Mytilus edulis: one gene and its partners. The protein of the gene in region 1 purifies or fractionates together with the protein of each later gene. This does not show direct contact. Links are inferred from orthologs where the notes say so. Each region holds a gene or a part of one and is shown in the gene's direction. Other genes may lie near its edges.

Region 1 (8,570 bases):
TTGACTTCAGGCAATAAAAAAAAATTAAAATTTTGTAAATTCAGAAATTATTGCATGCATTTATTATTGCAATTTTGTTAATTTAGACTTAAATGCGATTTTAATTTTTATGAAAAATCCTGATTATTTCATGGAAAATACTTCAAAATGTGAGTTTAAATTATTGCGTTTACAACTCTGTCGCATTTTTCGCAATAATAAAAACCTCGCAATAATTTCTGAATTTACAGTATTGGCTTCTTTACAGTCCTTAGCCATTTTGAAATTGGAAATGCTCTATGCTATCTGTCTGATTGTTAATTCATGTAGACCAGGGCACATACAATTTAGTAGTGTTTATACTAACATAGAGCCAAGAAATAGACTTATTGAAACAGAAATAGGGAGATGTGGTATGATTACCAATGAGACAAATAACCATAAAAATCTAAAGGAAATATTCCTATCGTAAGGTCAGTGGTTTTCTCTCGGCACTCTGGCTTCCCCCATCAATAAAAACTGGCCGCCACGAAATAGCCCAAAATCGGTGCTTTAAAGTGGCGTTAAAACACCGAAATTCAAATCAACAAAAGGAAAAAGATGTGAAAAATTTCAGGTCACCTTCAACAATGAGTAAAATACATTTTGTATTTCAGTTAACAGTGTAAGACTTTTTTTAAGGTAGTAGTTGAATATATTTTATATTTTAATGTCTAAGACAAATACAATGTATGATTGTTTCATAATTTACAATATATAGATGAAAATAAATCCAAGGCATCAAATTTACAAAAATGCTATTTTTTTTAACATTGGTTCAATACAGACTGTATGTTCCCCTAAGCTTGTGTATGATTATACTGCTATATTAACATATAGGACATACAACTCTAAGAATTTTCATCAACAAATAATTTTTAAAATTACCAAGAAAATAGGCATCCTACTGCATCGGGTAAAATTATTCTTAGCTAGTTTGTATTTTTCTGTTATGTTCCTTAGCTTTTGGTCACAGTGTAGTTTAAGAACTATTGGTGGTCCCGTTCTGATTCTGCTCTTTACCATTCTCAATTTTATACAATATTTGTTGGCATTTAAATATTTGGTTTTATTGTTGTTACATATTGAAGGTATATCAAGAAAAGATGCTCTACAGTAGCATTTTTCTATTCGACAGCAAAAAAATTTTAAATTTTGGTCGTATATTGGTATCACGTTAGTGTCAGCTTCGCCATCGCAGTGTTAAGGAGGTAATCTAATTTAAAGTTAAAGAATACTGTTATAAATATGTTTGATTACTTGATTACCTCCCTTACAAAGCTTGAAAATTATGTATTAAGAAATGATGATTGTCTTGAGATGTATAGCTGTAAAATTTTTCTCATTTTAGATTTCAGAAATTAAAAAGACTTTTTCTTCAAATATTTTTTTGGGAGGGGATTAATATTCAACAGCACGAAAGCAAAACAAAAATTTTAAGTTCATTAGACCATATTCATTCTGTGTTAGAAACCTTTGCTGTGTCAACTATTTAATCACAATCCAAATTCAGAGCTGTATCAAGCTTGAATGTTGTGTCCATACTTGCTTTAACTGTTCAGTGTTTCACCTCTGCGGTAGTAAAAAGCTGCGCCCTCCGGAGCATCTGGTTATCAATTATTTTGAATAGAACTCAACAGAGGTAAAAACAAATAGATTTCATGGATATTGAATTTTTACAAAGAAATAAGTCTCAGCATATGAGCAATATGTGCTACTGGTAATTGTAATTAGATAACACTTAAAAAGATCAGCCATTAATAATTAATGTAGATTATAGCCAGTAGATTTAGAACCGATAAATGACAAGATCTGTGATAATCCTGGCATTCAATTTTAGCTGTTATTTGACAAAAAAAAACCTGCTGTTATCTTTGGAGGTAGTTCATTAGATTTGTATTCTTAATCAGAATGATTAATACATCATTCACTGAAAATTTGGTAGCACTGGTCTTTCCCATGTTATCAATTGACAGAAACATTTCCAAAATTTAAAAGAACCTGTGTGAGCATACTCACATACCCCACGCCCCCACATTGACAGAATCTCACTAGATTCATAAGTTCAAAGACTATCTTCTCCAAAAGTCAACTGATGAACATTTCTTGTGATAATTATCAACAAAGTTTTATGAAATTCTGTTGTGTATATTTACAGGAGTTGCGATGACAAACTGTTGCAGTAGTATATTTAGGCAAATAAGTGCAAAGGAAAAAAATTAACTCCTAATTTCTTGTCGATATGCATTTCTACATAGTATGTCCTTATTATCTATAGATAAATTTTCATGAAATTCGGTTGTATGGTTTCAGAGGCGATTTGATGACAAGAAAAGTACTGACAAACAGACAGCCAGACTGACTGGTCAAAAACAATATACTCGGACTCTAAAATTGTGTGGGGTATAATTATATCTTATTTGAATGACAGTAGTTCAAAGTTTATTTTGCAACTAGATATCATTTAGGTAATAACAACTGAGGGGAATCACCAAGGTGAAAATAAACATATATATATAATCAGACATCATGGTCAAAAGTGCGTAGAGGCTCTAAAGAGCCCATTTCGCTCTTCAGGATGAATGTACATTTTTAGTAATGTCAGAACATAATAACAGAATATAATCCCATGTATAAAGATCTCTATTTATTTATCTTGTATTGCTGATGACTTTTCTGTTTTTAGTTTCTATCTACTCTAGTTTTGCCAAACACATAAATAAAAGGGTAGACATCATTATTTATCGCAGTAACTTTTTTTTTTAAATGTTGAATTTTTCGACTTTGTTTGGACTGCTTGTACAGTAGGTCTAGTCTTTTGATCATTTTTGCTTTTCTATAATTTCTCTCCATCTTTATATATAACTATTGCTCAACACAGAAAGAGGGCTTACTCTTCATTTCAGGGCAGTAATAGATCATATGTATAAAAAAGAAGATGTGGTATGATTGCCAATGAGACAACTCCCTACAAGAGACAAAAACGACACAGAAATTAACAACTATGGCCTTCAACAATGAACAACACCCACACCGAATAGTCAGCTATAAAAGGCCCCGAAAAAACCATGTAAAAGCAATTCAAACGAGAAAACTAACAATGTGTCAATTTTGTCGTGTTGCTATATTTACAGATCTTGTTTTGCTGGTCATTTTAGCTGTTAGTTTATAGTCTCTCTTTATCGACTGCTTTTGGCTAAATGTACAAAATATAGGTAAACATAATCGCTTAGGGGTAACAACTTATTTATACAGTTGTCGACTGACAATTTGGAACATGTAGACACATGTAGATGTCTTGTTTTGCTGATAATAATCAAATGCGCTAAACAAAGTGGTAAAAATCGTCATTTATGTTGAGAAGTCGTCACGTCACAAAAAAAACCCAAAAAAAAAACCAAAAGATTACACAGCACTAGACAAAATCCAAATCCAAGATCATGTATCATTGATATTCCACAATGGCCAACCAAATCATGATTGCGTCTGTAAAACTTTCGAAGGGATAAATTCAACTAAACCACTGGGAACACATAATACAATTGCTTGACTATAAGCAGAAACCCTCTACCAAGAAAATGATAGGATACGCTAGATCTAGAATGTCTTCTCGACTTGGCAATATATACTCAATATACGTGAGGAACTGATTGATTGGTGTAACCAAGAAATTGAAAGATAACAATGGGAAAACTAAAGTTATATATTAAAATTCAGCATTATGGTTATGTCTGTTTCAGAGAAAAAAATCTCGAATCAGAGTATTTGTTCTCACAAAGTATTATTTGTTCCTTCCTTGTTAAAACAGATATGTGTTGGCCATTCTGTTTTATGAATCAGTTTTAATATTTCTTCAATCTGTCTTTATGTTATACATATAAAGAAGTAGTGTGTTGTCCCTAAATGATGATGTTCAAATGTATTTGATATTAATTAATTGTGCATCAAGAGAGGCATTTTCATTGAGTTCTCAGTATTCATATCTATATCACCACCTCAGAGCAGCCCGTTTCACATTAACTTTTTGTTTGCTGATAAAATGTAGAATAATAATTTGGGGAGAAATTTCTTGGAGCTTGATGTGACAGTACCAGCAGGTTGTTTGTAAGTTATTTTATTTTGATATTCCGGCCTTACAGTGAAAAAAGATCTATAGTTCTTCATTAATGATTGTAACAATTGTTACTTTTATTATAAAGATGTCAATGTAGGTTCCAATAAAAACGGTTTTGTCTTAGGTCGTTGTATGCAGGAGCAATTCAACTTGTCATGTTTGGATCTTTGAAGATATAGATGATATTCAAATTATTCAATATGAATAAAAAGAAAAATAATGTAAGTATTTTTGAGACGACATATAGTATACAGATTAATGTTAATTTCTAGTTGCGACCTTAACTGTCTTCATGTACAGTACATCGTCCCTACATATACCATTCAATCAGAGACATATAATACAAGAGATTCGCAACTATTGTATGATATGTCTCTGATATTATATAATAGAAATTTAAATTGTAGCCTTCTACCCATGCTAACCATTGAGAAAAAAAATATAATAGTAGATGTTTTTAATGATAAGGACTTATAAAACTTTCTAGTCAGTCTTGCAAAAGTAGCAGAACACCATGCCCCCGGCAGACATGCAGTCGACTGTTTTATTGAAATTGATTCATTTGAAAATTAAAACCTTTCAAACCTTTGAAATGTCTTATTAGTGTCCACCGTTTTTGTTTAGATAAGTTCAATGTCCAGGCAATTATTTTTGAGAACCTACAAATTGTATGAAAAAATATTCTAGTCTTTTTTATACAGTTTTGATCTTGAAATTTTATGTTGAGTTGCACAAAATTTACAAGAAAAGCTGGTATCTTACGCCTTTCTTCAATAAATTATTCCACCGTTAAGGCACAATAACGTACGTTTGTATTCGATAAGTCGTCGGACTTCGGCGTACGTCTATGCCAGAAGCAAGTCTTACCAAAATAAAACGAAAGTACAAAGTGAAACAAGAAACAATGTGGAGATCAACGTCGAGATGACGCTTATAGAAGACAGTTGATGTCAAATATGTGCTAAATATTTTATCTGAAGGTATAATTAATGATGATATTTGAAAAAAATAGGCAGGACAGGAGTTTTGAGTAAAAAAAAGGCAAATCAAATCAAATCAAATATATTTTATTGTCAATTAAAGACGCCCATTACAGGCAGAATAATCACAAGTTAAATTTGGTACAATGATTACAAAATGATTACAATTATTTGAGTACAATTAAATCAATGATTACAACGAAGAGAAAAGAAAGACACACTAATGTATATTTATAAAATGTGTGACACTTGCACAAAAAAAAAAGTCAGGACGACAATTTAGGTAAAAAAAGTCAGGATAAACTAAAAAAAAAAGAAGGCAGGACCGATTAGAGTGAAAAATAAAAAGGCAGGACAGAGATTACAGCTAAAAAAAAATGCAGGTCAAAATTTTTCATCCTAGCCCCCCCATATAAATCAAATGGTAGCTAGCTCCCTTATGACGTCTGGCAAGGCTATTTTTTTTCTTTCTGAGAGGCGTCCCAGAAAAAAAATTAAAATAGCCTTGCCAGACGTCATAATTATTTGTACTATATCTGCGCGTACCCACATCCGGTTTTATAATGAAATGTCATCAGATCGGGAATAAAATGTGAAATATATACAGAATTTGACGTAATTAGTGAATAAATTGACTAAAACTAATCAGAAGATTTGTAAATATTTATATATAGGTAAGTGAACAGTTTTTAGCTCACCTGGCCTAAAGGGGGTATCTTATTTAAAAAATGTGTCAGCTGACCCAGCCAACCAACCAAGATGCCAACCATGGCTAAAAATAGAACATAGGGGTAAAATGTAGATTTTGGCTTATAACTCTGAAACCTAAGATTTAGAGCAAATCTGACATGGGTTTAGATTGTTTATCAAGGCAACATCTATCTGCCCTGAAATTTTCAGATGAATCAGACAACCGGTTGTTGGGTTGCTGCCCCTAAATTGGTAATTTTAAGGAAATTTTGCCGGTTTTGGTTATTATCTTGAGTATTTTTGTAGATAGAGATAAACTGTAAACAGCAATAATGTTAAGCAAAGTAAGATCTACCAATAAGTCAACATGACCAAAATGGTCAGTTGACCCCTGAAGGAGTTATTGCCCTTTATAGTCAATTTTTAACAATTTTCATATTTGGTTAAATTTTGTAAATTTTTACAAAATATTTTCCTCTGTAACTAAAGGGCCAAGTTTATTATAGATAGAGAAAATTGTAAGTAGCAAGAATGTTCAGTAAAGTAGGATCTACAAACAAATCACCATCACCATCACCGAAACACAATTTTGTCATGAATCCATCTGTGTCCTTTGTTTAATAAGCACATAGACCAAGGTGAGCGACACTTAAGAGCCTCTAGTTATTTCAGTTAATAATTATTCATTTAAAAAATTGAAAAGAGTTATAAACATGTGGGTAGACATTCCATTGGTATCATGAATTAGAACAGTTGATTAATTTTATACAATTAAAGTTTAAGGGACGACATCAAAAGTTCAATGTAAGAGAAAAAACTTAATTCATATACCATAGTTTTTCTCTGACCACCTAACACCCCCCCCACCCCATTTAAACAAAACTTGCAGGAATTATAACCCCACCCCCAAACTATTTGAATTAAGTTTTTTATTTTCCATAGATTTTTTGATGTCGTCCCTAACAGAATACATTTTTCATGTAATGTCATGAATGTAATGGAGGCAAAAAATTCCAAACAAATTTGGTAGGAAAAAGGCCTAATACAAAGTATTTGTTTTAAAGTGCAGTATTAAATCGAATTTGCCACGTTTTATACATTAGTCACATCTGAGACTACTATGTGTTATAGTAGTCTCAGGTCAAGTTTTTTTTATGTCAAATACTTCTAGTTTTACTATTTTAAACCGTTCTTAATATAAAGGATATATGTATGCCTACTTTTAGTACATTTCAAATGGATTGTCCTTTCCACTTTAAACTTGGCATGACTAAAGATGGACAAAACCTGATTGCGAGGGAAGCAAAATGTTTATTTGAACATCTTCTGTTTTACATTTTACTAAAACATTTAAAAAAAATCTCATATGGGTATTTTTCAAATTCAGTAAAATTTAATTCTTTAAATTTGCATTTACATTTTATAATAGTATTCATTTTTATCAAGTTTTTTTTTTTACAGGGACTGTACAGTCTCATTTTCCATCAAAGGATGTGCATTTAATTTGCAATGTTTATTATGTATCATTATTAAATAAATACAATTTGAAAATATATTTTTTCATACTCTTCACTCTTTCTACACGAGATCCCCATATTATCGATAATGTCCGTTTATATTTCATGTTTCATTCTGGATCCGATGGCATGTTTTATAAAACAGGATGTGTCACTGTGTACCCGTAGCCTACGAATGGCAAGTTGACTATTCGTACCCAAATGTGGGTACGCGCAGACACTGCCTTTAATTATACCGAAAGAGACAACAGATATAAATGTTGGGGTTAATTAAATCAACTTTCGTTATATATGTGAAGAAAGACAACTATACTGTTTAGCGTTTGTTTCATGTGTATTCTGAATGCTTATAGGCTACATCCTGACTGGTGTCAAACCTTGATACATAAGGTACATATGAAAAATGTGACATGGCAACTACCACAGTATTCTCCAATCCTGTAGCTGCATTTGAAATTTTGCAATATATTGACGTTTGTGGTCAAATAGTTTCACTGGCAAATAGTTAAACGCTTGCACGTTGAAAATTAATCAATATATTGTGTACTGACTTTATATATAGGAAATGATAACTGAGGTACATGTATAATAAGGACATGTATGGTGCCAGGCAAGGATTTGTATTGGCCTTGGACGAAATTTATTAGGTCCCATCTTTTAGGAATATATTAGACTTGTTAACTAGTACATGAAGTATTCAAACACTTCTTCAAACTATGTATATTTTCTCCCTGCATTGGTGGCCTTGGGCTGTTATCTGTTTTTTGGTTAGGTTGTTGTCTCTTTGTCCCCATTTCCACTCTGAACTTCATATTGAAATAAGCAGCTTTTAAGTCACCAATGCAGTAAAGAGACAAAATTTTTGCTGACATGGCCTACATTGTCATGATGGTCTGTTGCCAACTTGGTTAAATGATTAATGAAGACAGAAAATATTACAAATATACTAGCACGGAGGAAACACCCTCTTAAGTAGTAACAAAAAGGCAATGTAAATGTAAAACTGCTATCATTTTTTGGTAAGAATATGGACGATTACTGCATTCATTGTCTTTATTCTTAGGATCACCCCTTTAAAAACCAAACATTTCGCTTAATGAATGCTGTGTCCAAGTTCCTCGCTATTTGTCATTTTTTTTTTTTACTGAATATCACATTCTTTCCCATAAAATTAGTACATCTCAATAAAAAATGTCTCCATTTGCCACAAAGAAAAGTGAATGTTGTAAATAGTCAATGTGTCACAAATAT
Region 2 (8,483 bases), about 23 Mb from region 1:
TTCACCTAACTATTGGTATCATCATGGCAAATAAATATGAGTCAGTGATTTGCCTCCAAAAAAGTCAATACCCTGCAATTAATTTTTGCTTCTTTCATATGACAGCCTTATGCTGATATATATAAATAACAAAAAAATGCTAGAGTGGGGTGCATTTTCGCCATAACTTTTTATATTTTCTGCAGTTTATGTTCAGATTGTTATGTTTATGATGTATACGGATATTTCTATATGAAGATAACATCAAAAACTAAATATTCTTAGCTTGAAAATGCGTTTCTTTGAAAAAAAAATCATCTGAAAAGTTAGATTAAAGGCTATTTGAAATTGCCTGATGTTTTGACAAAGGGGGACATATATTCGCCGATTTTACAAATCTATTTAAAACCAAATAACTGCAGCTTTAAACAATATTAATCAAATCAATTTCATTATAGAATAATAGATGAATAGCAGACATTTCAAAGGTGTAAAGAACTGAAATTTAGGGCAATCAGTCTTAGAAATACTTCTATGAAATCATTTTTTCATTCAGGAAATTGGCCGAAAATCGTTGTCTGTTTTCCAGTCCTTCATGGTAAGTTTAAAAAATAATAATATTTGTTATAATAATATAATTTACCGGCATCTTTCTTCCATTTCCCACATCCTTTGAAGTTTTTGCACCTCAAAATCATGAAATGGTGAAATTGTGTCCCCGGGGAATATGAGCGCCCCACTCTAACAGTTATCTCTTTATGAACTTAGGTGTTTCTTGATTTTTTGGCCGACAAAAAATTTACATTTTTTTCTGGTATTAAAAATCTTTTTTTTTTAATTTATGTTTTTTAATATTATTAGAAGGTTGTTTCTAGTATGTCTAATCTAAGGCTTCTGCAACACATGTTCAATTCAATTCAATTCAAAGCTTTATTTATAGACGGCATGTAAATTAACGAATCCCGGTCCGTTCGCCCTGGTACATGTTCACCCTGATACCTGTTTTGCCCAGGGTCCAACGCCCTGAATTTTATTTTTTTCTTATTGTTGTCTAGTTGCATAATGTTTATAATTTATATATGAATATGTTAGATTTTGTTGAAATTCGCCAAATACATGTATATGTATTCCCTCAACCATTTTATAGTTTTCTTTTGATTTACATATAGGTAGAATACTGGAATACAAATCAATGTTTATAATTTATCTTTATTTTAATATTTGTTACCAAATCATTTTATTCAGTCGATTTAAGCAGTATAACTGAGACTACTCTATCACATGATTGTGTTAAAGTAGTTTCATAATAAATGAACTTGTAAATTCTTTTCTTAAAACAAAATGTTGTTTTTATTATTAATCCCGCATCAAAGACAAATATTACAACAATCAGTGAGAAGTATTATGTCATTGAACAAGCTTTCTATGTGTTTTCAGAAATTCAAAGAATAGACCACATAAATATGAGGGGCCTGATGGGGGGGTCTCATCACGATTCACGAGTTGATTTTTTTGTCAATCACGAGTCACAGAAAATAAATTTCCATGATCACAGATCACGAAAATATAAGAAGAGTATCACCAATCAATCTCGATAATAGAGATTCAGAAGCTGGTTGTTTGGTGCAATTAAGCTACAATCAAATACATTACTGGCTCATTACTTGTTTACATGTTGAATTCTCCCAGGTTCTAAATTAAATCGTTAAAAACAGTCACATTCTGACTTCTTTTATTGTATAATAATAATATTTCATAGAAATGTTTTACTGGCGTAAATACCATGGAACCACATCTGTGTTTTATCTTGAGGCTAAACTAAGAGATTATAAAGTATATATATTTATTTTGTCAATAAAATTTACTGCTGAGCCTGATTGTTCTCCCACTCCTGCTGGTTGTCCCAATAAATTTATTTTCCTGTCCAAAACAGGTTGGATCTACATAAAATATCACAACCTCGACAATGTTATTGCTGTGGCTCTCAGCCATGGGGGCTGCCATAGCTTGCACTAATAAATGACCTAATTGCACTTTTAAAACTATCGTGCCACTTCAACTTTTTAAGCCAAGAAAGACAACTCAATGGAACTCTTTTTTTCCGTAATGAAAAAAAAATCACGAGAACGAAAAATATGTCTCAATCACGAAGAACGAACATAAAATTCCAATGAAAACGATTCACGAACAATGGTTTCATCACGAATCACGAAAAATAAATCTGTAGATAAACGGATCACGATAGCGAAAATGAGCCGATCACGAAGAACGGAAATAACCCATCAGCCCCCTCAAATATCTGAATAAGTTTTGTAAATTTTTATGCCCTTTATAATATTGACATTTCTTATTTAAAAGTAGGGCGAACGTACCAAGGGCGAACGGACCCAAGGCGAACATGCAATTAGGGCAAACTGACCTGATACCTTAATAAACAGATATACATATCTGTGAGCTTTTATAACTGACAAATACATAAAGGATTGAAACATAAAATGTTATTGTCTCAGGTCTTATCACATGTATATGAAGGCAAGCACAATATATTTTCATATTACCAAAAAGTTTACAGAAACTTCCACCAATTGTGTTGAACCGTAAGATGTTGTATTTGTGTTTTTGAGAGCACAACCTATTTCAGAAAGTTCAATATATTCTGTGCATCGTTTTCCAATCAATGCCATTTTCTCTGAACACTTTCAATCTCTAGATTCAATGAAGATATCCAAGAACATGAAGTATAGATTTGTTTCCTTGTATCATACATTTTTAAATACTTTTTGCCGGTTGATTTCTAAGATTTGACTCATAAGTTTTTGTTTCCCGCTTTTAAGCAGCTAGAGGAAAAGAAAACAAAAACTGTAAAAAATGACTCAGAAAGTTCATTGTTTAAATGCGAAACCGAAAGTATGGTGAAGGAAAAACTTATAAAATATATTCAGTTATCCATGACTGTTTGTTACTATAGACCTGTTGTTTCAACATTTTTTTCTGTGGTTTCAACAAAGATGATTGTTCGTTGACGTCTTCCGCCATCCTCTCACGTGTTGTTTGTTGTTGACATTTAATCAAAATTATTCCGAAGCAGGGGAAGCTGCCGAGGTGTTCCGATTAAAAAATAGAAAAGTCCCGAGGTAAAACGTATTAAAAAATGTATTGCAACACCGATAATAGTATATATTGAAAGAATAAATTGATTAAAGTTTTAATGAATATTACCATGAATTGATCCTTGAAAAAAATAGTCCACTCTTCAAACCAAATACAGTCTGAGGGTCAAAATTGTTACACCTATTAGAAATTATTTCACACTGTGACATTGGTGCTGTTATGACCCCCCCCCTAGTCCCTCCCTTTTATTATCATAAACCTCAGATTTTTTAAATATATATAACACTTATTTGTACCATATATATTCTAATAACTTTAAATAAGCATGCCTAGTACTATCAACGTGAATCTCGACTATACAGACGATAGCTTAATCAGTGCCGGCAAAATGTTCTTCTAAATATGAAAATACTCCCATAATTACATGACGTATGACATATTTAAAAAAAATAGATTAAAGGTAGCTCCATGGTATAACAACATCTTGGATTATACAATCGCAAAACAAAATCGGTCTAGTTATTTGCCCAAATCTGCAGTTTTGGAGACAGATTTACAATTTATTAGTTCGACTGTTTATTGATTTAAAAAAAACTTTGTGATTAACTTTATTATTCATAATATTTAAACAAATATCCATTTTTTTGTTTTTAGAATCATATTTTTCTCAAATAAGCCATTTAAGTGTAGATAACTCTTTTGGGGGAAATGCAAGCCTACGGCTTGGTTCGTTTGCCCAGGGTTCTTTAATGCTTCCTAGGAGTCTGTTTCCTGGGAACGTGAGCCCGCGTAATTTTGAATATATATAATAACGGGATGGAATTTTATCGTATTACCTATGTGTTCTAAATTGAAAACCTGTGTTTAATGAAGTTAGATGGTCAGTTTTCAGAGTTTTTTAGTTGTAACCGCAGGATTGATGCAAAGGAAGTCATTATCCCCTTTTTATATTCTCTCTATAGAAATAGAATTAATCAAACAGGCCTGGGTATTGAGCCATATGAAGTCAGAATGTTAAATTCATTTTTGTTCATGTACGCAGACGTGAGGTTTATCATATTTTGAAAATTCGCCGAAATGCACTTTGTATCAGTATTTACAAGATGGCAACACTATGCAATTTTACCTTAGTCGTCCATTAAACAGTTTGTATAAATCTTATATTACTAGATATAACATAAATGCTCATGCACTATGCATAGAAACAGGTAGATACTATAGTATAGCAAGAAAGGAACGTTTGTGTAGTATGTGTAATACAAATACTATTGAAGACGAGTATCATTTTATTTTAGAATGTGATAAATATAACGACATCAGATGTAAATATGTAAATAGTTATTACTATTAGAGACCCTCTACTTTACTGAATTAGTGTAGCTGTTATCTGTAAGAAATATCAAAGAGCTAAACAACCTAGTAAAATATTTGTTTTCTGCAGAAAAAGCACGTAATGGTTAATTATTCAAATGTTTATTTTTAGTTTAATATGTCTATATGTCATACTCCGCTTAATTCTTTCATTGTTTTGTATAATTTGTGTATAAATGTTATATTATGCTGTATATTATCTATTGGATATTTATATTGTGTAAATCCAATAAGCTGTATTTGCTTACGGAAATAAAGTATTATTAAATTTTGTATACACTCAAACTTTATTTTTAGTCGTTTTGACAACTTTATTAGAAAAATAACTTTCACACTTTTTTAACATATGAATTATACAAATTTTATTTTTTAATGTGCAATTACTTTTAATTTCTATTTTTCTAACCAAAACTTTAAATACAAATTAAAAAATATAATTTGCCATTATCTTCCCTGAACTGACTCACAAAATCAGGAAATAACCGACATTTTCGTGCATCTTTCACTATCATATGACAGTTTATTATAAAATCGGTTGCGGGTACACGTAGCCTACGAAGTCAAATTTGACTACGCGTACCCGCATGCGGGTATGCGCAGACACTGCCCAAAATAAAATGTAAGCCGTCCTCTCCCCATTCCAAACTCTCTTTTGTATCTCAAAGAGAGAGAAAAAATCTTGTTGAAAACAGATTATAAAAAAAGTATGGAAATAAAAATGGAAACGGAAAACTTACAAATAATCTATCATATTATAAAAATAATATGTGATCATATGTATATTTTATCAAAATAATTGAATAAAACCAGGTTAGGGATCAGCACTATTTAACTTACCTGTGAGTATAACAGTCGGAACAATGTCGGACGAAGAAGACGACCCGATTGAGCATGAGGTGACAAAACATTGCATTTTAATCTAATGACAGGTTCAATAATGAATTTTGTTATAGAATAGTATACTTGCGTTACATAGTTAGCTATAAAATACTTGAAAATTTTGACAAAATTGAAATTTAATCATTTGGGATTGTTGTTTGGAAAAAGGGGGAGGGGTATTGTTAGTTCAAGAACTGAAGAAGTTAAAAAAAACTTCACCATATAGCAGACATATTTTACCATACTATATCCACAATGTCCAATTACTCTTCTTTCCTTTAAATATTTTTGGAAAATTTCGAACAAAGAAAGAGTATGTAAAAACATTTATTCCATCTATCAGTCAGTGGCGTAGCTTGCATGTATGCTCAGATGCTCAAGCATCCACATCATTTTGACAAAAAAAAAATATATAATTGCATATGTTGTGTCTGAATGTAAGGGTGACGATATGTGAACATCGTCCAATCATTTCCAAAGCAGTATACATGGTCTTCTTTCCTTTAACCTTTTGGCTAAAATGGCCGTATTTACACCCCAAATTTTACTCTGAGTACAGACTAACCTATACACCTGCAACAGTTTTAAGGGATGGCAGGAACTAGATATATAAATTTTAAATGCATTTTATGTTTCAGAAAATTATAAACTTTTCTAGATTTTGCTATCCATTTTTTTTCGTTCCTGCAGAAGGTGCAAAAATTAACTAAGTCGTGAAAACGATTGAGAAGCTCCCCTCATATAATCAATGTTGTGAGTAGTATTGATTTAAATGGACAATAGATGGACAATAGACACCTGTAAACAATATGTGATTTAACAGGTTTAAACTGTGTAACTGAGTGGACCGTATCAAATGAAACTCGGGTGTCAGTCTTCACGCTGAGTGGCAGCCCTGGCAGCCCAGGCAGCCCAGGCAGCCCAGGCTTGTAAAATTGCTCTCGGGCCTGTAAATATCATATCTACAGGCCAACAGAATCTAACTAAAAAATTTCAAAAATTGAGCTCCGGGCCTGTAGGTTTAACAGTTCATCGTGAAGACTGGGGTGTTTGTTTATTTTGCTATCTTCTGCAGACTGGAAAAAAATGGACATCAAAATCCAGGTAAGTTTTTAATTTTCTGAAACGTAGACTTCATATAACTTTTATATATCTAGTTCCTGCCATGCCTTAAAACTTTCCTGGATGTACCAGTTTGTCTGTACTCATAGTAATTTTTGAGGTGTAAACACGGCCATATTTTTCAATTCCTTATGATGAACCTTAAAGGGAAACTTCGCAAAAAAATCAAAAATTGATATTATGTTCATTCTGTATAAAAATGTTCAAATTCATAGATATTAAAGTTTTATTCCGCTAGATAAGCGATCACCATCGATTTTAAATTTAGAGTATCAATTCTCCGAGATCCGCCATCTTGTCTTCTTTCCCGATGAATAAAAACGATATGTCTATAAACCACAAAGAAACAAAACTACAGTAACCGATGTAGTCGTAATTGCTTGTCGATATCTTGTCAATCGTACGGTTGTATAATACGACTAACTAACTTGATATGGAAAATATTCTTACTTTTTTTAAATTACCATGGTCTGTTGTTTTTAAACTGTTGATATGTGAATTAGGTGAAAAGTCAAAGTTGAAATCATAAATAAGTGTTCCGTGAAAATTGTTTTCGAAAATCTAATTTGTTCATAATTCTTTAAAGTAATAAACTTTTTTCAAGTATATTTTGATCTTCCCTTATCTGATCACCAGCATGGCTAAAGGTATTACTTCCAAAGGTATTGTGAGGGGTGTGAGGTGACACGTCCAGGTATTCAAGCGATTTCCTGTCGGGCTTGCAAGTTCATGCATCGTTTCACTTCTGCAGGTATTGATCAGTGTACACGGCTGATAACTTATAACTTATAACTTTCCATTTTGAACTATCAGATGTATAATATACAACTCTGTCTTACTTGTCATTACTAAACTCATACGCTTGTTTATAAATAACATTTCTGGTGTAAAGAATATAATTCATAATATATAAATAATACCCAAAAAATAAGATTTGATGAAATTAAAATCTATTTAAATATTTTTTCCAAGGGTGAATTTGGGAAAATGTAATATATAGTCATTGTCAATAGTGAAGGACAGATTGGAACAGACCAGAAATATTGATTTAAAAAAATGTACGCACTTGCCGACGATTCGTTTATACGACTGGATATAAAGTTACGGAACTATAGCGCAATTTAAAATATATACGTGAATACATTGAACATAAGAAAAAAACATATATTTTGAATAAATAGGGGTAAAAGTGTTGTAAATAGGCTAGCCAACGTATGCCAACAGTATGTAATTATCGAATGTCGATAGACTACAGTTGTATACCAAAAGAAGAAGAGAACCAATTTGATTTAAATACAGGTCGATGTATAACTTTTGCTTTGGTTCATTGAAGCTGTGGACCTAGGAAAATCACAGATTTATATTTCAATAAGATTGTTCTCAAACAAAGGAAGGAATTCGTCATCACAATTGTTATATATGCCACTGGACAAACACTAATTATCCCCAGGGGATGCGAATATTTTGCTGGGAAACTTTTGAGTATCAAAGTTTCAAATTAATTTCGGGATTTATTTTCTTTCTTGGTATTCAATAACCGAAAAAAGAATAAATTACTTGTTCGCTAAATAGGGATATTCTTGTCAGATAAAAGAATTTTAGTTATATTTAAAAAATAGGGAAATATGACATTAAATTGGTTCTGTCTTTTTTTAAACATCGTTAAAACGATGTGTGTCTAAGGTGAACGCCACAAGAACCCTGTAATACTAGTACGAGAGTATAGCATGTAAACATTCCTTCTCAATAATATGGTTGTATTGGAAAACTTTTCATACAGATTGACAACTCATTGTCCGATATGCATGTAATATTTGCCACATGACGCCCATAGTTCTTTCTACCATCATCACCTTATTCCTTTATATTGCTGTAAACATCGATGGTTCACACCCAAACAAAATGGGAGTAATGAACCTTCAGAGCTTCTCTGTGTTATACACTTGTGAAATATATAGACGAAATTTCTGTATTGAAATGAATCTACATCTCACAAACAGGATTTTCAAATAACGATTTTG
Region 3 (8,582 bases), on another chromosome or scaffold:
ACTTCAATTAAAAACCTCAATAAATATTAAAACTGGAATCACTATATATTGTTAAAAGAAAGTCAAAATTCCCTAACTTTTATATGCATCTTGTACATAATCAAAGATCTCTCAACTAAAAAAATATATCCTTTAACTTTGGCAACTAAAAAAATATCCTTTAACTTTGGCTTTTTATTGCTAATTATTTATGGAACTGTATTCACAAATTAACCAGATATGTATAATGAAAATACAGTTTAAGTGTCCTTATTTTATTTGATTATTTTTACTTTTCAAGACATTTTTGATAACAAAATATTTTTTTTTAAACCTCTGCATAAATAAACATGAAAGAGGTCATTTGTAAATTTTTAAGATTTGAATCTGAATGCAAAACTTATTCCACCATTTGCATTCTAAATTTCATGAAAATATAATTCAAACACAGGAAATTCAGTAAAAAGACCACTTTGAAATAGTTTACGATAGAATATATAAACTTACCTTTCCCAGCTAAATCATATTTATTTTCATGGCCACATTTATGACACTTGAAAGATTTTATGTCACCAGGTGGTTTGAAATTTTTTCCTCCTCCACCTCCTTCTTCTCCGCCTCCGCCATCTTTCCCAGTACACATAAATCGGTAACTGCCTGGTGCAGCACTTATTTGTTGCCATACTTTGAAAATTCTTACATCAGAAACCCTCTGCACACAAACTGTCAATAAAAACATAACACAACTGATTTGCAACATATGTCTCTTTAATAGCTATATACAATTGAAATATTGCAGTATTTTACAGTTAAAACTATGTACATTTTGGAGTCATGCCTTCAAAACAGCTCTGAATACCTCAACTGTGGTAAGTATGGAAAGAAAGATTGGTCATAGGAATCTGTTTTGGTTTTCTTGGTAGAAGCAGTCTGTGACCTTTTATAGTATTTTACTCTAATCAGTCAGAGCTCAGACATAAACAAGTCGATTTTTGTTTTTGACTTTAAGAAGTCAAAACATGTATTTATTATAAAAATGTGTTTTCAATTTTAGACTTATCTGTGTCAGAAAATGACAGACTTATTTAGGTCTATTTGTGTTGATGAAAAAAACTAATTTTACTTGGTGGCCAAAGTACACCACCTATGACAGCAAAAACCAGTCTGAGAGTTCACAAGGACTTGAGCTTAATCTATATTTAACTACCTTTTTAATTGAACATCATTACTAAACACAGATGTTTCACCTCATCAAGTGTGGTTCCAGGTGGTTGCATTGATATGTTGATTAACATTATCTCCGATTTTTTAGACTCTCATTCTTATTTTCTTCAGAAGGCAAAGCGTTGTCTTTCAATGTTGTCATTATTTGATTTAGATGCATGACCTTTTTATAAATATGCGTGGGTCTTGAAGTTAACCAATTTATATAACTTATCGACTTGCAGGACTCGATATTTGCAACTTTTTGATTCTGGTCAATTATTTCTTGCTTAACAATATTTGACTTATTAAAGTGGTATTTTGTCTTGCATTTAAGGTAGACAAATCCTAAAACTTACAAATTTAGACCTCTATGAGTCAAAAGCAGATTCAGACTTATTTATGTCTGAGCTCTGACTGCTAATAATCTTCTGTTGTTCACATTTACCAGAAAGTTTATATTTTTAATTAAACTGTTGTTAAATTTCTGTTCTTAATCTTCTTGACTCTTATGTGACACCTTAGTTTTGCCAATTTCAAATACCAATGATTCACACCATTTCCATTAGCAAAACAATTCTTTGACTATACAGTCATTGACGGTATGCTGATTTTGAGGTCCCCAAGGTGTGAATTTGTCAAACTGAATCAGTGTATGCAGAACTTAGAAGGTTGCTGTGCAGCTCTCACCTGCTGTTTTTTTTGTGTCTGTATACAGATTTCTTACATACAATATTGAATTCTAATTATATAACTATTTCAGTTTAATCATTCATCATAATTATCTTAGCTGCTGCAATTTTATATGAAGGAAAATCATCTAAATCAAGACAATTCCTCCCTTTACTCAATTTGTTTTTCTGACATAGATTTTAAGCAATTTAAAGCCACAAATGACATCCCAAATTTCAGGAAAAATTAAATGCTGAATCCAGAATTCCAAAAAAGCATTCTATCCTAGCCGGCCTGATTTCCCCAAAAACAATCTCCACAATTATGACCATAGTCCTGATACATGTCAAACAATGTCTAACTCCTGAATTCCAGCAAAAATAAAGACCCATTAATGAAAAAAGTCTATGAGTATGATGCATGACTTTTTATATTAGTTGTTATCATGGTTATCATGGTTATCGGCTTTGAACTAGATGTCAGTAACAAGTACTCTCAGATCTGTACTTAGTGTCTTTTTGTTGTTGGGATGTACTTATACCCTGTCTCTTCCACAAGTTTTTGCTATATCATATATCATATCTAGTACATTTTATATATTTCACCCGATTTCTATAGTTCATTCTTATGTGGCACTGTTACACCACTGTCCTATATTTGGGAACTGTTGGGATCCTGCTAACATGTTAAACCTGCCCCATTCTGTATGTATAGTGAATCTGTATGTGCCTGTCCAAAGTCAGCAGCCTGTAATTCAATGCTTGTCCTTTTGCTGCTGTGTTACATATTTGTTTTTCGTTCATTTTTTCAACATATAACTACCATCATTCAATTCATAAATATTTGATGTAAAGTTTCCCACCCAATCTTATATTTGACATATGAGAAACGGACCCCATTACAGCGGCACTTCTGTATAATTTAGGAACTTCGGAATATAGGAACTGAAGTGACTTCTCTTTCCAGGAATTTGAGTCTACAACCATGGGTTTTTGATTTTTGATTACTGAGCTAAACGCGTTGCAGGAGACATAAAAATACCAGGCGTCCGATCATCTGGTCTTGTTAGCACTCTCATGTGTACAATTCTTGTTAGATTAAGTGAAACTCATATCTTAAGCAATGTCTTTAACAATTTGGAAAATAAGTCGTAATCAAATATTTTTAACCAGTTATGACCCTTTGAAATATAAATTGTAATGGAAATCACATTTCATTTGCTGTGAAGCTTTTATTTCTCTTAAGATATTGAAAAGAAAAAAGAAAAAGAAAAAAGGTGCTTTTTTAGTTTATATGCCTTGTTCCTTGCCCTTTGATAGATAAAATATGACATATAATGTGCATTGAAAATAAAATTAGTATTTGAACCTAGATAGAAACTGGAATTCATAAGCATCGGACTTATTACGATCTATTACAAATTGATTTTATTTTTATCACGTCGTTTACCATGTCGCAAGAAACGATATCATGATATGGTGTTTTATTTGTTAGTTGCTATAGTCAAATGAGAAGCCATCACTTTACTAGGTTCATGATTTTAGATGAAACATGTCCACGGGTCTGCGTATCAGTCCTTTCCGCTTGCCTAAGCCGATGACGTAGACCTTTTTACGAACAAAAGTTAACTTGGAACACTATTCTGCGATTCAACTATCTTGTTTACATAAACTAAATTATCCTAAATGCAAGACCAGGCATACTGCTTCGAAAATGACTGGACGTTATCCTCATATGATTTCATATTCTCAGCCTTGTTACATTTGGATACTTCCGAGTTAAACTGCTGCTATTTTTATTTTATTTTTTTCAAAATGATGTGGATGCTTGAGCATCCGAGCATACATGCAAGCTACGCCACTGATTGCTCCAATATGTTAAAAAATCAGTTTTGATACATTTTCTAAGTAAAGTTTGAATTTATTTTTACTGAGTTTTTTACAAAGTACTAAATTTAAACCAATGTTTGTTGGTGTGATCAAAAATATGAAGTAAAGTCTTAATAGATGGAGAACATGACTTAATGTTTTTGTAAAATTTAAATGAAGCCTTTAGTCCTTTATCATATAGTTTTTTTTTAGCTGCATTACATTTTCCAGTATTAGTAAGAACTAATCCTAAGTATTTATAGAATTTCACACACTCTATTCTGTTTGCACCTATATTAAATAAATAGCTGTTAATTATTTCTGTGTCATTAGGTCTCTTGTGGAGAGGTGGAGAGTTGTCTCATTGGAAATCATACCACATCTTCTTTTTCAAATTTGTAACCCTCACCAAAGTCATTTTGCCAGTGCTAGTCATTGGCTAAGAAACCATTTTCAAACTGAAGAAAGTTTTTCTGATCAATTTCATCACTATTTTTTTTTTAAATAAAATAAAATATTAATGACCCCACACCTAGAATAATGTCATCTATATCCAAATTCTTGAATGGAAAGATTATAGTAGGATTCAAGCGTATTGGTGTGACTGTCTCAAGAATGTCCAGACTGATTACATATATGGATTATGTTACATGTACATGTAGTAAAATTAAAAATGATGGTTTAGTTAAGGTGCTGTCATAATTGACCTTTACTAGATATCTACACTTCCGTCAAAAACATTTCAGTTGTGTATATTTGTGTGCTTTAAATAGAATATTTCCTAGAAATGCTGAAATTATAGTTGAAAATTTTTTTTCATCATCATAAGCATGTTGTCAAATTTATACATTACATTCACTTTTCATCATTGACATCTGCCTCACAGTTTAGAAAATACTTACCAATGTTTCTTCTGAAGGTAGAAGCAACCATATGACGAACAGGGCTACTGCAAAGTCTTATTGATGCAGACATATTTGTTGATAAAAATTTCAATCTAAAAATGTTACTTTTCCTAAACTTGATCGACAACAGGTTAGTTTTCAAACGGTAGTGTTTAAAAAAAAGTCGAAGTGCTTAAGCGCTATCGCATATCACGAAATGTGTGGTTTGCAGAGAGGATATTCAACATTAAACAGTTTTATATAAGAATTCTACTAGTCTTCCATCTCAACGATTGTTGACATTTTAAGGTCAAGGTTACGGGGAGAAATCGTAGTTCACAGAAAAGTATATATAAAATAACTTTGAAAGTAAATGTTTTAATCTTGAAAATTAAAGAAATAACACTTTTATCATTTTGATATACCCCAGTTGTTTAATTGAAATTAAATCTCGTAGTTTTTTTATCCAAAATATTAATTTCGATATTCCGTGTTTGGAAATCTCCCTAAAGATGGCCGCTTCCACCAGTCAACAATTTTATTCTTGACCAGGCCAATGGCAGGCAGAGGCAGAGGTAGAGGAAGAACTGTATCCTTCAATGTAGAAGCTTTGGGAATCAACAAGGGAGAAGTACCCATAGGGCCTGTTCTTCAACCGCCACCGCTCTTCCCGGTAAATAGAATAAGAAGCAGAGATGACATCATGTCATATTGAAAAACCAAGTGATGATGAAATAGATAAATAATTTGATTGATTGAGTCCAGTAAAAATATTTCATTCTCATTCAGAATAATATATGAGGGTAGAAACACAGGCACTCGTCTCAGAAAAAAAACGTGTTATATAAAGGTATACCAGGCGGGGGGGAGGGGATATATATATATATACACCTTATCGCTAATCCCGGCTGACCCGGCCGCTTGAACTTTTGACGCATACAATAATCACTTTTTCATTATGGCGTCAGATATTTTGTTTTATGACGTCAAATTTTTACGGGAACCTGTGTGATATCCAGTAATGGCGGACAAATAGCGATAAGGTGTATTCTGAGACTGAGTGCCTGTGGGTAGAAATGCTGTTTAATGTCAGGCGTTAAACTGTCATTTTTTTGGCTACCATTACCGTTTAGCGCCATGAAGTTAGTAATTTAGTTTAGGGAAAAGAATCTGTCTATTTAATTATTTTATCGTGTTTAAGAAAGTGAACATTTTATCGTCATGCACCAGTTCTTTTTCCAGCTACCAAAATAAAAGACCTTTGCTTTAGCCGACAAAGCACCAGAGGCGGAGTTAGGGGGGCAGCGGGCACAGGCCCCCCCTTTTTGGAAAAAAATTTGGTTGCTTATATAGGGAATCACTGAAGCGTGACTGGAGCGGGCCCCTCTTAGGCAGACAGCGGGCCAGCACTTATGAAAATTTCTGGATCCACCAGTGAGCACAGTTAGGTTTAATTTAATAAATTCATTGACATCTGGTTTAAAGGGCACTAGCCAATGCTAGCTGTCAAATTCATGGTCACCGATTTGACTCAAATTCTAATATTCGATTTATAACAATGTTAAACATTTATCCAAACTATCAAAAGTCTAAAATAAACAGTTTACAGAGCATGGGGTAGATAATATGTAGGTTCATTTCGTGTGTATTTTAGTACAGACGCCATCTAATTAACTATTGATTTGGCCTCAGATGACCATATAAGCAATGTAAACATAAATAAAGATATGAATAGATTAAACCAACATGTGCAATTGGATTTTTATAGGTCTTTTATTTTATAGATTAAAAATATATGTTTCTCATTGTTTTAACCGTCATGACCGTATAAGAATGATTTTATGTGGATCGATACTGAGTTTCACTTTCATTGTTGATTCTTTTTCTTCAACAACCAGTACACTTACAATATTAATGCATGCGTTGTCAATCTCTAGCTAGGGGGTTAAATTGAAGTTCACAAAAATACGGATTTAATGAGGTCGACTTGCAAGTGAATAATTAATTATCAATGTTTCTTAGCTTAATTTGACAAAATTGAACCATTTTGGCTGCTAAAAGCGAATTATTATTTCACTTTCATAATTGATTGAACAAAAAAATTCTTACTTTAGATTTTTTATATATCTGGTAGCTAGTGCCTCTTTAAAAGTTCTTATTAATCAAATATTTGTAATTTGTCTTCCAGTGTGTTCATTTAAAGTTATTATAAACGACTGTTAACGTCATAATACAACTACATTTCTTACGCCTATACATTCGCAGACCATTATGCTTAAGCGTATGGAGGAATCACAGTTAAGCGTATACCATGGCACTTCAGCGTGACCATTGAACTTAAGAGACCCCATTGCACTTTAGAGTCCTACATTGTATAAATATACTGGAGATTTGTATCAACATTTTCTGTTCACTTTAATGATAAAGCTACATATTTTCCTAGTTTTTAAGACCACTGTCATTTAATATGGTATAACATTATCACCATGATCCAAATGTCATTTGGTTTCTAGCCGAAATTGAGTATAGTTGTATACATAGATTTTGAAATTGTACCACAAGGTTCAATACCACAAAAGGAAGGTTTTGATTGATTTTGGTGGATATTGTTCTGACTGGTATGGATTATAAGGGGAAATAAACTGTCACTTAAATTCTTGTTTCGTGAAAATAACTAGTGTAAGTGTATGGAACTCTATGAAATTGTACCAAAAGGTTCCATACCTCAAAAATAAGGTTGGGATAGATTTATTAAGTAACTTGTAATGGCCAAATCCCTTTTAGAAATAAGGGGTAATCACAAAAAAACAAGGATTTTATGTTTTCAGGAACAATAACTTGAGGTAAAAAAAAATGTATTTATGCATGTACATGTATTACCATGATTTTTTGAAAAAGGGCCAAAAACATTACTTTTCTACTCATGTGTATACATTATTTCTTGACTTATTTCAATGGGGTCTAATTCAAAGTCTTGAATTCATGAGGTTCTCTTATATATGATGAATCTAACTGTGTATTTAGATTTTAGAAATTATATCCCTTTTAAAAAGTTGTCTATTTTATGGTCTAAAGTGTTCAAATTTAACTTATTTGATTTCATAAAAAACTGAATATTTAGGTTTCTTTGATGCTGTATCAAACCATGTATTGCCATTTCATTTATTTTGGTCCCATTATTAAATTGATCCACATTGAGATCAAAATCTTAGCCCTGATCAGAGTACCAATCACTTGACTTTATATTTTATCTCCAATATCATGTCCAAAGCAAACATAAATACCATTCTTGTTGTGGATTATCTGGATAAAGAAGGAAGTAAAATGTGGGTAGGTGGTGTGTTGTGACCACTAAGTTACAAGCATACTCTTAAAACGCCATGAAATATAGTATATGCAGGAGTTGATTTTTTCTCTGTATTTTAGCCACAAGAATTCAAACCAGTACCACTGAAACAAAGTGAAGATTATGAATATATTTGTGCCTTGAAGAAAGAGTTCATAGGTTTTATGAAAAAGTCCCCATACTACATACAATCCAAAGAGAAAAGGAAAGATATTGATAGATATTCAGATAAATATCAATCAGGACAAGACACATTGGGACAATGGAATCCAGGTAAAGATTTTGATGAATGATATACATGTAACATGCTATAGCATATATTATACAGAATAAGAAACATAAGAACAACAAAATCTAGAATGGTAGAATCCAGTTAAAATTTGCATTATCAGAGCATTAAACTTTAACTTCTCTAGTACTCTGCAATCTTTAAAATAATCACTTTCAAACAAGTAAACCCAACAGAACTGATGAACCCATATACATATATGCTCTATGTATAAAATGGATATGTATACGTATCACTGTGATCTTAGTTTAAACCTTTAGAAATATCCTTTGAATGTATATATTTTTATTTGAATTTGCAGATTGGAGAATGTTTCCAGATGAATTGAAGCCTGCAGAGAA

Evidence for each region.
Region 2: the proteins of DNA-directed RNA polymerase III subunit RPC8-like (region 1) and DNA-directed RNA polymerase III subunit RPC5-like purify together in Homo sapiens (affinity purification with mass spectrometry; 9 studies listed by BioGRID and IntAct, counting the BioPlex papers as one, with this or other methods). This does not show direct contact. The link is inferred for Mytilus edulis from reciprocal best matches to the Homo sapiens genes POLR3H and POLR3E.
Region 3: the proteins of DNA-directed RNA polymerase III subunit RPC8-like (region 1) and DNA-directed RNA polymerase III subunit RPC7-like purify together in Homo sapiens (co-immunoprecipitation; 4 studies listed by BioGRID and IntAct, counting the BioPlex papers as one, with this or other methods). This does not show direct contact. The link is inferred for Mytilus edulis from reciprocal best matches to the Homo sapiens genes POLR3H and POLR3GL.

Annotation. Positions count from the first base shown.
Region 1 is NC_092352.1:85,910,944-85,919,513, reverse strand, and holds the start of DNA-directed RNA polymerase III subunit RPC8-like, read left to right. Parts: upstream 1-4,985; 5' UTR 4,986-5,112; intron 5,113-5,674; exon of another isoform or gene 5,675-5,786; intron 5,787-8,570.
Region 2 is NC_092352.1:63,261,574-63,270,056, reverse strand, and holds the start of DNA-directed RNA polymerase III subunit RPC5-like, read left to right. Parts: upstream 1-5,288; 5' UTR 5,289-5,321; coding exon 5,322-5,357; intron 5,358-8,483. Other genes in the region: H(+)/Cl(-) exchange transporter 7-like, read right to left, coding at 2,538-2,663. UniProt on the Homo sapiens protein: DNA-dependent RNA polymerase catalyzes the transcription of DNA into RNA using the four ribonucleoside triphosphates as substrates.
Region 3 is NC_092347.1:19,547,627-19,556,208, forward strand, and holds the start of DNA-directed RNA polymerase III subunit RPC7-like, read left to right. Parts: upstream 1-5,144; 5' UTR 5,145-5,162; coding exon 5,163-5,279; intron 5,280-8,032; coding exon 8,033-8,225; intron 8,226-8,542; coding exon 8,543-8,582. Other genes in the region: ATP-dependent clpX-like chaperone, mitochondrial, read right to left, coding at 487-702, 4,625-4,697. UniProt on the Homo sapiens protein: DNA-dependent RNA polymerase catalyzes the transcription of DNA into RNA using the four ribonucleoside triphosphates as substrates. Specific peripheric component of RNA polymerase III which synthesizes small RNAs, such as 5S rRNA and tRNAs.